Alligator mississippiensis: one gene and its partner. The protein of the gene in region 1 purifies or fractionates together with the protein of each later gene. This does not show direct contact. Links are inferred from orthologs where the notes say so. Each region holds a gene or a part of one and is shown on either strand. Other genes may lie near its edges.

The links. The genes of interacting proteins can lie anywhere in the genome.
Region 2: the proteins of TDRD3 (region 1) and FMR1 purify together in Homo sapiens (affinity purification with mass spectrometry; 4 studies listed by BioGRID and IntAct, with this or other methods). This does not show direct contact. The link is inferred for Alligator mississippiensis from reciprocal best matches to the Homo sapiens genes TDRD3 and FMR1.

The regions. Positions count from the first base shown.
Region 1 is NC_081824.1:401,752,638-401,759,484, forward strand, and holds the start of TDRD3 (tudor domain-containing protein 3), read right to left. Parts: upstream 3,016-6,847; 5' UTR 2,878-3,015; coding exon 2,837-2,877; intron 1-2,836. UniProt on the Homo sapiens protein: Scaffolding protein that specifically recognizes and binds dimethylarginine-containing proteins. Plays a role in the regulation of translation of target mRNAs by binding Arg/Gly-rich motifs (GAR) in dimethylarginine-containing proteins.
Region 2 is NC_081831.1:75,853,915-75,860,921, reverse strand, and holds the start of FMR1 (fragile X messenger ribonucleoprotein 1), read left to right. Parts: upstream 1-4,000; 5' UTR 4,001-4,195; coding exon 4,196-4,246; intron 4,247-7,007.

The DNA of each region.
Region 1 (6,847 bases):
TAACAGTGTGAAAGGATCTATTGATCTGGAATTAGACAGTATTCCTGTAATATCCTCTTATGCTTCTAACAGTATTTAAGCTGTTGCACTTTTAAGTGTTTGGGAGGAAAACTCAAGTGAGAGTATCAAACTACACAAAAGGTTAAAACAAAAATTGTATCACATTATAAAGCCCACTTAAAGTGCCATCTTTTCTAAAGTGACTTTGTAAGTAACATTACGCCCCTGTGTGTGTTAAGTTATATCTTCTTACTCGGGCCTTAACAAAAAGGTTTTGCTTTTTTTTTTAAACTAACATTAACTCCTGTTTCCACCTTAGAGTAAACAAGGATATCGGAAATGAAGCTGACAAGTGCAGGGCCTCCAAAAGTGACAGGTTTACCTGAATTGCAAATGCACAAAAGTTTTTTCAAGCATTTAAAGGAACAGAGAACCAAGTTGCACAGAAGCAAATGAAGAACGAATCTGACTTACCGATTACGTTATTCACACTAGGAAAATGACTACTTTCGACAAGAGGTGAAAGCAAGAAGTGCAAATGAATTGGAACTGAGCATGGTTTAAATGCCAACACAGACCAGAAGCATGTTATTTTGAGTACCATTTCTTAAGACATGTTTAAAAGCTGCCTAGAGTGCTGCTGCTGCAAAGGGTGCACCAGTCAAAAAAGGTCACAACAAGAAAGAACAGTACCAGGAAAACATTCCAAGTACCACATCACACTATTTTTTTTAAGTTTACCCATACATGCAAATTTAAGCAATTCTCTGAACCAGGGGCTAAATAACCAGTTTTTTACAATTTGTGGATTTGATAGGGAATGCGTATTGCCGAAAAGTGTTTGTAAACAGTTGAGAAAACAAGGTAAGCCTATACCATTAGATAAATGATAGTTGCCAATGTTCACCAAGCCTACCAACCAGAGAGTGTGTTCTGCACTGTAGAAGTAAAAAGTCCAAGTCTCTTACATATTGTACTCGGAGACAGGTAACACTGTCAAATCACAGAATCATAGAAAACTTGAGTTGGGAAGGACCCTGACCTGCTCAAAGCGGGACCATCCCCAGCTATTTCATCCTAGCCAAGGCTACCCAGCTCTTTAAAAAAAACAGTTAAAGATAAAAGAGAGTCAGGAGTTCCTAGTTTCTGTACCCTAATTCAGCAATTCTCAGCTGGGGCCCTGCCATCCCCTAGGGTACCCACAACTCCTTTCAAGGATGCTGAGCAATGTCAGCACAGCAGGACACAGAAAATGAAGGCAGATATTTCAAACAGGAATTGGTAGTATCAAACCGCTTCCCCACCCCGGGCCTTCTGTGGGCCAAGATATATGCCAAGAAGAAAGCGCTCCAGGACAGCTCCACCACTCTCAAAGCAAGACACGAGCAGAAGGGAGGAGGTGGCATTTTCAGAGAGGGATTCTCAAGCAGAATCGAGGAGTGCCCAAAGAGGCGTGAGAGGCACCGGCCTAATTCAAGGCTGCCTGGCCTGTGCTGCACTCTCTCCTTTCTGAAGACGTGCCCTTCTGCATAGAATCACAGGGCTGGAAGGGTCCTCAGGAGGTCATCTAGTCCAGCATCTCTCATACCATGGGTCTAAAGAATATATTAAAGGGTCACGAACAAACTTTAAAAATGGGTCAACAAATTTTAAAAATGGATTATCCTTTAAAGGAGAAAAACATGGGAAACTGGCCTTTCCCTTGCAGGCTGTCAGAGCTCCAGCCTGCATGGGACTGCTCAGGTCCCCCCATGCCCCACACACCCACCCCCTGTCCCACACACTCTGGGGGCTTCAGCCTGGGGGCAGCAGGTCAGGAGTGAAGGGCACTGGGTCGAGACTGGCCACCCATGTTTACAAATCCGTCCTGGTACAAAAAAAAAAAAAGGTTGAGAACCACTGATCTAGCCCAACCCCCTGCTCAAAGCAGGACCAGCCCCAACTACATCACCCCAGCCAAAGCCTTGTCAATCTGGGTCTTATAAAAAACTTTGAAGGATGGAGCTTCCGCAGCTTGGGTAACCCGTTCCCATGCTTCGCCACCCTCCTAGGGAGAAAGTTTTCCTTAACATCCAGCCTAAACTTCTCATGCTGCCCGTGATGACACGCAGCGGGTGCACATGCACCCCTTGACAGGCTGCGCTCACCACTAGGCGACTGGCACCAGGGGCAGGTAGGAGCCCTGGCTAAGGAGTGGCCGCTTTGCAATCAGCCGCAGCAGAGACCCCCCCAGTTGGTGAGACTGGCTGCAAGGGACTCCCCCGCAATAGAAGACTGGCCAGTGCAGGGGCACGTGCCCCCCCTGACTAAGGTGGCACCAGTCGCCCACGCGTGCTGCTACTTGAGACCCTTGCTCCTCCTTCGGTCATCTGCCCCCACTGAGAACAATCCAGCTCCGTCCTCTTTGCAGCCCCGTGTGGGGTAGTTAAAGGCAGCTCTTCAATCCCCGCAGTCTCCTCTTCTCCAGACTCAATCAGCGCAGTTCCCTCAGCCCCTCACAAGTAATGCCCCCAGCGCCCTCGCCATTTCCCCTGCCCGCCGCGCCCACATCCCCGCCGCAGCGGGGCCCACAGCCAGGCACAGACGCGGCTGCCCCGGGCCCGGCTGAGGGCAAGGAGCACGTCCCTCCCCGCGGGTCCGCCCTGCTGGCTTGTGCCCCCGGGAGCCCTACGGCCGGGGCACAGCCCAGCCCCCACGGCGGGCACCAGGCCTCGGCCGGACCCGGGGCTCGGGCAGGGACGGGAAGGGGGAGGGGAAGCCGCTCCCCGACCGCCCCGAGCTCCCCCCCGCGCCCCGGCATAAGACGCGGCCTCCTGGCCCCGCTGCCGCCGCTTACCAGCCAGCCTCGCGGAGCGCCGAGCTCGGCCCGGCCGCCATGGCGCCTCCTGCCGCCGCGGCCGGCCCAGCCCAGGGGCGGGGGGGCAGGGCCGGGCTGGGCTGGGTCCCCGCGCTCCCGCCAACCAACAAAGCCGCCACCGGGCCGGGCCGGGCCGCGCTGTCAGCCCCGCTCCGCCCCCTCCGCCGCTGAGGAGGCCCGGGCCCGGGCCCGGGCCCGGGAGGCTGGCGCCGCCATCACAGGGGCGGGCAGACAGCGGGGCCTTCCCCGCGGCGCCGCTTCCCGCTGGCTCTTGTGCCCCTCAGCGCCCGAGGTGCAGGCCTTGCCCCCGCTCCTCGTCCCTTGTGGTAGTGGAGCAGAGGGAGGCCCTCCCCCCGGGGCAAAAAGAGGGGGAGAAGAGTCGCGCCTTTCTGCTGGGGAGCAGCAGCAGGGAGCCCCTCGCTGCCTCTCAGCAAAAAACTGGTTCGCAGCGCAGCTGATGCTGAGCTCCAGCCGGCCATAAAGTTAGACCTGTAAAGTTAGACGTGCCCTGACTTTATAGCCGGTTGCCGTCCAGGCTTTGTTTGCGCCTCCAGCAGGCCCCCCCTGTGGCTCCAGTAGGGTCCCCCAGCCCCGGTGCCCAGCAGAGCTCCCAGCTACAGCGGTATGCCGTGCCTGGAGCACAGCACAGAGCTCGCCCTGGCACCTCCTTGCACCCCGCTTGGTGGCGGGCCTTTGACGCATGGTGCCCAGCCCAGCGGGCCTCAGGCCTGGAGGATTGCAGCAGACATGATCCCCGAGTCTTGGAACTTCGGGGTTCACATACGCAGCCAAAACCTTGAGTCCCACAACTAAGTGGCTCTTGGTCCCAGCTGCGCCACGATCAAGAGCCCTGCCCGTGCCCCTGTAGCCAGGAGCCCACTTCTTACCAATGCAGGGGGGGAGCCCAGGATCAAGTAATAAGGTGTAACTGGATCTAATGTACAATTCTGTGCATCACACATTAGATCCCATCCCAACTTTACCTGCCCATGTAGAGGGGGCCACAGAGAAGTAGGGCTGGAAAGGGACTTCTACAGGTCTAGTCCAAGCCTCCGCCCTGGCTGAGGTAAGGTCATCCCTGTCCAAACCATCCCGTACAAATCCATCGTCTAACCCAGTGGTTCTCAACCTTTTTTAATCCAAAGCACCCCTCACAGGATTCAAGGCACCCTTCATTGAACTCGAGACGCGTTCCATAACATCTGTGAATAGAGTGGCACCCAATTTCAAAAACAACTATATATTGCAGTGTTTGCCTCCTTGGCAGCCCAGGTGGAGGATCATCCATGAAGAGGCATGCCTGAGCCTGGTTTACCAGCTTCTCTCTTCACACTTCATGACACCCTTCAACGGGTCTAGCAGCACCCCTCTGATTGAAAACCACTACTCTAATCCAGAGATGCACCGGCCTGTGAGCTAAATGTGGCCTGCAGAGCCTTTGCATCCAGTCTGCAGGGCTCCCCAGGGCTCAGGAAATTTGATGGAAGGGGAGCAATGGCTATTAATACCACCACTCTTCCCATGCTGCCAAATGCCTCTGTCCCCCTCCCCTCACAGCCAGATGGGGCTGGACCCTGCCCCCTGCTTCCTGAAGCCAGATTGGGAGGGGGCTGAGCCATGCCCCCTTTTCCCTACATGGCAGAATTGGTGCCAGGCCATGCCCCCTTCTCCCTGCACACTCGGATTGCAGCCGAGCTGCTCCCCATCCTTCCCTCCCCCCCTGTGGCCGGGGATGGATCAGGGCCACAAGCTAAATCCAGCCCACAGAGGGACCATGGCACTGTCCATCCAGTCCACTGGGGAAAAGGGGTAAACATCACTAGTCTAACCTATTAGCAGAACTACACAGACAACCCTGACACAACCACAGGACATAACACTCTAACCTGCCACAGGTAAAGCAGGGGGACCATGGCAGCCAACATCATGCTGCTGCAAATTTTTTTAATATATGCTCCAGAAAGTAAAGAGTGGGATTTTCAGAAGTGCCTATATGGTTTAAACTGCCTGCAGAAAAGTTAGAGGATGGGTTCCTAAGTCTCTGCTTGGGACTCTGCTTTGAAATGAATGTTAAACTGAATATTCTGAATAGTTTGGAACTGTATATTAAATTAGAAGCACAAGCTGCTTCACGATACCTTTCATAAGTTCCTTTCAAGGTGTACAGTATAAAGGAGTTTTGAAACACCTTGACTTGTTTCTGAAAGAAAAGGATATAAATGAAGAAAGAGTCAAATGGGTAATGTGTATGGGCATATACCCACCACTTTTCTTTGACTTAGCCGTACATTTTTTTAAAGCACTGCAGAGTTCAAAGGAATTTTTGAAGCTAAGAGTGATTTGAAAGTAGCTGGAGGTCTGAAAATTTAGCAGCTATTCTGAGTGCCCACGCTACTGACACAGTCTATAGCTGAGCCACCAACATTTTCAAAGACAGCTGCTGTTCACATAAAAGAAGAGTATCCAGTTAGAGCTGTACTCCTGTTGCTAATTGCTAATTTTTTTCACTGTCCTGAGTCTCAAGAATTGGGTGAGATGCTAAGCAGCCTCTGTATCTCTCTGCTAAGCTTTGTCCACACTTGGCTACTTCGGGTGGCAGACAGCAGCCAAAACAGAAGCTGCAGGAGTGTGGGAGTGTGTACATGCTTTTATATATATATATATATGGCTCCATGTCATCAGCTGTGCAGAAAGGGCACAAACTGTATGCTGGATAGGTCCAGCAGTCAAAAGAGCTGCGATATCCAAAAGAAGGCCTGGCCAGTTTTACACATCCCTTCTGTCAACAGAAGCCTTCTCAGTTCCAAGGGACATAGTTGTCTGCAGGGGGTCCGGTGCCACAGAGGAGTTAAAGTTGATGTGCTCACATCTTGCTGGCACTTGTTTGGCCAACAAGATTATGTAGTGTAGACCAACCTCAAGACTGATGTTCCCCTGTACAATTCTAATCCTGTATTTTCACCTCTCCCCACGAATATTCAGTCACTGGTTTGAGCTGACTTTTGATCTCCCCAACGATACCAGAAGAACCTTCACTTCTAAATAATTTTTGAGTCACTGGGGACAAAACCACCTTTGGCCTCAGTAAATGTTTTCCCATGTGCCCCCTGTGCCAGCTTTCTAAAGATCATTCAGAAGAATATCTCCTAATTTGCATCCTTTTTCTGGCCTCCTGCTTTCTAGTATATTCAGATTCGACCTCCATTGTTTTTGCCTTTAAGATGCTTCATCATTCAACCTCACCCTCACCAGCAATTCCATTGTATACTCTACTTACATGCACACCCAGTATGTGCATAATTCACGTAACTGCATAACAATGCTTGTCAGTTTGCTGCCTATTGTTTACATTACGATAATCATAATGTATCCACATCAGTTAAGTGCATAGTGTCCTTCAGATCCACTGCCTACTTGGTAACATTAATTGTACTCCAATTATCTGCATGCAAATATTGAAGAAAAGCAGCTGTCAAATGGCTGGTATTAGATACCTTAAAATTGACAGGAGCCAGACAATTCCACGTCTGTTGTTAGAAGCCTGGAAAATGAGGGGACTTAATCAGTTTCATGTATCTTCATAATAAGCATTCTTTACAGCATCAGGAACCAAACTTTTTGGCTGGCATGCCACAAAGTAAGCCCTGCATCTTCCCTGAGTACCACTCCAGTCACCTTTCCCTGAGTGATCTGCTGCTCTGCCTTCTGGCTCCCTGTGCTCCCTGTCTACTCCTTTCCTCTGCTTTCTGCTCTGTGCCATATTTGTTGCTGTGTTTGCCTGCCCTCTTCCCAATCTGCCAAGCTCCACACACAGAGGCTGCCAGCGCCACTTGTGGCACATGTACTGTAGGTTGCCAACCCTTTATAGCACTGCGAGCAACACGGTATTTCATATCCCCAAAACTGACTAGCTTCCTCATTCTAAAAGCGTCTGATAACAGCCTGAAACTATTAGAAGCCTTGAAAATCATGGGAACTAGTCAGTTTGGG
Region 2 (7,007 bases), on another chromosome or scaffold:
GCTAGGAACAGGTATCAGCTGTGGCACTCTACCTCACTAGCCTTGCAAGACTAATGAATTTGGCCTGCTTAGATGCGAAACGGGGAGTTTTCCTCTCTCAAACAAAATGGACTTCAGAGCATCTGACAAAGCAGGCTTACAAAAGCTCATGCCTCTCTAAATGAGTTACTTCAAAATACCACGTTGCCCTAATTTCTGCCTAACTTCAGACTAACGCAGCTAACTACCTCTCTAGGACAGTGGTTTTCAACTTGTGGTCCATGGACCCCTGGGGGTCTGCAGACTGTGTAAGGGGTCCATGAAAGATGCTTATGATCAATCAAAAGGATGTGAATACCCACACTTACAATTCAAAGGGGTCCGCACCTCCGTTTGAAACTTCCAAAGGGGTCCACACCTCCATTTGAAATTGTAGGGGTCTGCAAATGGAAAAAAAAGTTCAAAACCACTGCTCTAGGAGAAGATAGCATGTGACCATATAATAGAATACTGCATCATGATACTTATGCACAAGGGGCTCAAACTAAAGGTGCACAGGTAACCTTAATTTTGGTATTTCCTATATTGCAAGTGCTTGATTTTGCATTTATAACATTTTGATATGATTTGTTTACAGTTGGCCTACATCATCAAGGTATCTTGTGGCTAACATTACATAGCTCTGATTTAGTGAATCATAAGCATCTGTTTTACTTTTAATTTTCAATACATAAAATAGTAAATCCTAGTCAGTGGCTAAGTTGTAAGGAGCAGACTTTCCCAACCTGTTCTAAAATAAACCCACACATCAAGTACTATAAAAAAGTGCTCCTTCCTGATTGCTGCTATCCCTTTCTGCCCTGTAGTTCTGCAGAGAGAATCAATCTTAATAAAAAGTATATAGATCAGGTTTCAACCCCTTTCTGCATGCAGATGTGGTGCACAAAACATATTTAAATATAGCACAACCTATTTTTTTGAAGTTCTGTAGCTTGCACTATTTAAAACCAACTGGCATGAACATGACATCTGCATCTGGAATGGATTTTAGCATGGGATGCCCATGCAGTCAACCTCACTCTCTCACCTTCCTTCACCTGAAACCCTTGGGCAAAACAGGGCCAAGACAGCTAGAGAATGGTCAGCTGCAGTTCTTTAGGAAACATATACCTCCCAATGAATCAAGACCTAAATTGTAATCAGGGCTTGTGGACAGAGGTGATATCTTTTATTAGACCAACTGTCTAATAAAAGATATCATTTCCTCTAGACCAATATAGCTACAACCTGGATACCTAACCAAACTGTGGCATCTCCTTCGCTGCTGTTCTTCAAAGAGGCTGAGCAGGCCTGTCTGGGATATTTTAGGAATAACGTGGCTCACATCTGAGCAAAAGGTTGGGCTGATCACCCGTGACATCCCTCCACATCTTATAGTTTTCTGATAACACCAGCTTTCTAGACAGCTTGGCTACTGGATTTACCCAGATGACTGCTGGAGGGCCAGGAGGTGGGGCAGAGAGACAGCCTTTTGGTTAGGAATCAACCACGTTCCTCAAGACTAATTCCCTGGCATCCCCCAAGGCTGCACAACTCACCCATGGTTCCTAACAGCCCTAGTTAAATTAGATGCTATTACTATATATATATATATATATATATATAGATACATATATATATACATACATACATGTATATATATACGTACATGTATATATAAAAACAGAACTTAAAGCTCTTTTAAAAAATGGAAATGTGTTATCAAAACTGGGAGGCTACCAAGCTACTACCTGCCATCACAAACTGCAGGAGCAACCGTCCTTCACATCTACCTGCATTCAGAGACATGAGCTTTCATAGGCTATAGCTTGCCTTGTCAGATGCTAGAAAGTCCATTCCATCTAGGAGAGGAAAACTCAGTTTCAAAACTAACCCCTATATAGAAAATGCAACCGGTGACACAGTGGGGTGGATATATAAGAAATGAGGGAAGGAATATAAGAGCTTCCCATGAGGGAAAGAATACTAGAACTTAAATATAATACAATTTTATTCCTATTTAATTTTATTCCTAACCCCTCAGGATTGCTGTGCTCAGGCAAAGTAAATAAATAAATAAATAAATAAAAAGATGCCCCTAACATTGTCTCACCTAGCACTGCCCATTCCCCTGCTCTCTCCCTCTCCTCGTTTTCTGTATCCTAATTTCTCTCTTCATGCTGTTTCCTGCAAGGCCTTTCACAGCATGGTGAAGCGAGCTGGGGTCCACAAAAGCATGTGCTCTCTCCCTCTATGTATAGATATATAGATCTCCATGCGATTACGTCTTCCGACTGACTTCAGGTCCCGAGTTTATTACAGAACAGTCTGTAAATACCGATCAAATTCCTCTTCATCATTTACAATGGCAAAACTTACATAGCTGAAGCCAAAAATGCAGTTTTCCCCAAACTTTTCACTGGACCCAGAGTGAGGTATCCCCTCGCTGCGAGCCGGCAAGGTTCTTGGGAAAGATGATCTTTTATTTGACCAACTAAATAGTTGTAAAAATTGCTCGTTGCAAGCTTTCGGGCGTAAACGCCCTTCTTCAGGCACGCAGAGTCACCTCACCGCCGTGCGTGCAGCAGTGTACTTCAAAAAAAGCTCCAGCTGGCAACATGTTTTGCACTTGAAACACTAAGTCTCCTCTGTCCTGTCGCTCCTGACCCTCGTGGCCTGTCTGGCACCTAAATAATATTTCTAAATGATGTATTGTGATTTGATTTCCCTTGACATAAAGAATAACACAGTTGAAATAAAAGAGGTCTGACTTCAGACGAGTGCGTGACACCCTGTTTACACCTCAGCCTAGCACGTGTCACCCCGTGTGTATCTCAGACTAGTGCATGTGACACCTGTGTGTACAGACTAGTGCGTGACACTTGTGTGTGCCTGACTAGTGTGTGACACCGTGTATACCTCAGATTAGCGCGCGACACCCGTGTGTACCTTATTCTAGCGCATATGACACCTGTGACTAGGACATGCAACACTCATGTCTACCTCAGACTAGCACATGTGACACCTGTGTGTGCCTCAGACTAGCATGACACCCGTGTATACCTCTAACTAGCACGTGACACCTCTGCATATACCTCAGACTAGTGACACTTGCGTGTACCTCAGACTAGCGCACGTGAGACCTGTGTGTACCTGACTAGTGACACCCATGCGTGCCTCAGACTAGCACGTGACACCTCTGTGTATACCTCAGACAAGTGTGTGACACCCATGTGTACCTCAGACTAGCGCACGAGACCTCTGTGTGTACCTGACTAGTGTGTGACACCCATGCATACCTCAGACTAGCACGTGACACCTCTGTGTATACCTCAGACAAGTGTGTGACACCCGTGTGTACCTCAGACTAGCGCACGAGACCTCTGTGTGTACCTGATTAGTGTGTGACACCCATGCATACCTCAGACTAGCACGTGACACCTCTGGGTATACCTCAGACAAGTGTGTGACACCCGTGTGTACCTCAGACTAGCGCACATGAGACCTCTGTGTGTACCTGACTAGTGTGTGACACCCATGCATACCTCAGACTAGCACGTGACACCTCTGGGTATACCTCAGACTAGTGTGTGACACCCGTGTGTACCTCAGAGTAACACGAGACACCTCTGTGTGTACCTGACTAGTGTCTGTGACACCCCAGCGTGTACCTCAGACGAGCACACGTGACCCCCCGACACCCCAGCTCGGAGCTGCTAGCAAACCCCCCTCCCCCACCGCCAGGCCGCACACCCGCCGCCATGGCAACCCGTCTCCCCGGGTCACCGCCCCCTCTTCAGGCCCCGCCCGCTCCTGATTGGCCGCTCCGCGCGCTCTCCCATTGGCTACCAGCGCGGTCACTCACCAGCGGGACGGGCGGTGGCGGAGGGCGGGGCTTCACCCAGCGCTCGCCGGGTTAGGTTGCACCTTCCCCTCACACGCCCCCCCTCCCCTCTTCCCCTCCCTCCCGCCGTTAACAGGGAGCGGCCCTCCCTCTCGGTCACGTGACGCGGGTCGAATGTTTACCTTCGAGGCGGGCGCCCCCCGCCCCTCCCCCCCCGCGCGCCCGTGACCGTTTCGCTTTCATTTCCGGGCAGCCGCGGGCCGGGGCCGGAGCCGGGAGCCGCCCCTCCCCCCCACACACACCCCGCGGAGGCGGCGCCGGGCCCGACGCGACATGGAGGAGCTGGTGGTGGAGGTGCGGGGCTCCAACGGGGCCTTCTACAAGGTACCGCTCCGCCTATTGTCGGCCGGGCCCGGGCGAGGCCTGCGGGGCCCGTGGGGTGGGCCGCGGCCTAGGCCTAGTCCCGCGTGAGGCCTGCTGGGCACGTGCGCCCTGTGGGGGGGGGGAGGGAGGGAGAAGGAAGAAGGGAAAAGGAAGGGGGAGGGGGCTTTTTTTTGTTGTTGTTAGAAAAATCCCCCCCTCCCCCCTCCAAAAAAAAAAGTTCCCTTGGGTGGATGCTAAGGGGGATTTGCCTCCCTATTTAAACCCCTGAGAAGCCCCCAAAATGTCCATCCTCCCCTGGGGAAAGGGGCGGGTGGGTTGGGGGAGTCGGGGTGGGGAGGGAAATCTCCCGGTTTTAGGGCTGCGAGTTAATGAGCACACGAGGGTTTTTTTTATTTGTTTTAGGGTTAATGACTGCACGAGGGTTTTTTTTATTTTGTTTATTTCTTTTTCTTTTTAGGGTTAATGAGCAGATGAGGTTTTGGGGGGTTTTTTTAAATTTTTTTTAGGGGTGCAGAAAGTGAAGTTTGCGAGGGGTTCGCGCCCCGACGCGCTCGTGAACGGTCGTTTCGAGCGCTGGTCAGATTCGGGCTTCGAAAGCAGACAGGGTTCGGGATCAGGTCTCATTAAATAGCGGGGGGATTTTTCTCAGGGAGTTTTCGGGGTCGAAAGTTGAGGGGTTTCCTAAAAAAGCACGAAGCGTGTTCTTGGCGTGAACAGCTAGCGCCGGGATAGAAAGTTTGGGACGTGCGGACTTCACGTGGGTTTGTCCGGTTCGTGTCCTCTGAGAATCGGCGAATTAAAAACGCGCGATTTCTACTTTTCCATTTTGCTGGTTGAAACCTACAAGTCTTCCTGTTAATTTCACTGGGCGGTTTAAATCATGAGCTGAGTTTGTTGTGTTGGTAAGTATGAAAGCTTAGTTAGCCCATCCAGGTTTATTCATCTTTTGGCTAGAATATTCTTCTTCTTTCCTTTTTACGTTTTGGAGTACGTTATAGTTTGGTTTGGTGAAGAAATAAAAATGTAAAGGTTAAATAAGGGGTGGGGGGTTGGAAATGGCAAATAGGTCTCAGCCGTCCTCCAAAGGTGGCTCAGCAGAAGCATCACATATGCTATAACAAAATCAATCAGTTCTCTAGATTTAAAAAAAAAATGTTTTAAAAGTTTTAAGCATCTATAACCAAAATTCATAGTTGATCCATTCAGGTGAATAGTTTTCTTTTCATTATAATACCTGAGCACTGCACAAATATGAATGCATGTGCCTGGTTCGGTGTAACATGAGCCAGTATTATTCTTATCTTGGTGATTAGGAAACTGAGGCACAGAATGAACTGTACTGGCCGGCATCGCGCAAAGTTTGCAGCAGGGACAAATTCTGGACCTGAGCTTCAGTTACATGACTGAAGGGTAAACTGAAACATTTCTGTAGGCAATATCTTAGATGGATGCTTTTAGAATCATAAGAGTGTAAAAATACTCTTTATCCAATTTTATTTAATGGTGTGTTTATCTCTAGCCTTTGTTGTAAGGGCTTCACTTTCTTTACTTGCATCAAGGTGTAACAGCGGTATATATCTGTAGAATTTCAGTAAGGATCTTGAGAGTCTATTAAGGCAGTTTTGCAGTATGAACTTTAAATGCATGTCCCCGCTGCCTCTGGACTGCTACACTGCAAAGGGGATGTAATATCTCAGGGATGTAGTATCTCTGGCATGTCTATTGGCACATGTCCAAAGCCACACCAAGTGCCACATTACATCTGTTTCAGGACATAACACGCACGCGGAGCCTGTGTCCTGTGTTTCGCTGCTGCGCATCTTGTTGGTGTAGTTTAGCTGTATGCCCTTACAGTTGGTACTGTAAAATGGCCTTCATCCCGCTTTTAAGAACTGTAGCAAAATTCTGTGAATGTGTGCTGCTACTGTATTTTGGTGTAGTGTATGGGCAGCACAAGATGAAGCTCCACAAAAGGGGATTCATCTTGACCTGGCCACCTAACTTCTGCATTAGGCATCTCAGTCCAAAATTTAAATCCTTCAAATTCTGCCACAAAACTCTTCCATAACCCTTAAGGAGTATAAAAAATCTAGGCAACTAAAGTTCTGGTTTTTCCTGTACCCAGCAGCACCTCAGTCTTGACAGTACTTGACAGTTCTGAGCTTGACTTGTGTCTAACCATCATTGGGGTTAGTGGACAGAGGTGCTTCTTGGCAGCCTGTGATTTAGTTAGGTTCTTGACCCCTCCCAAGAAGGTGGGATTTAAGACCTCCTATCCTCAGCACTTCCTGTCACCCTGTTTCAGGTACTTCCCTGCTAAGTGTTCTAATGTATCTCCCTTCCGAGGTACCTAACTTTCCTCGGGTTCCTGTTAAGACCCCAGATGCCAAATACTACAAGGCACTTAAGTGCCTAACAGACTCTGCAAATGCTCATTTACCATGCTTAAGTCCCTTCTGGATCTAGCACTTCCTGGCATGAGTTGGGGGTGATCACATTACTCATGAATGGCAAAGCCACAAAGCGATATTCAGGTCATCCCAAATAACTGGGAGGACTACTGTCACATAGTAATAGTACTTTTATGTATTGTCTGTTATAAAGACAAATGTTTTAGAAACATTCTAGGGAGCTTTCCAAAACTCCTGGTAGTTTTTCTTCTTCTACCAGAATCTAAAATTGTGTTGATACCATGACTGATTGCATTAGTGGAGGGAAAAGAAAAATAAATCTAGAAAGAATTTTGATTGTACAGTGACTT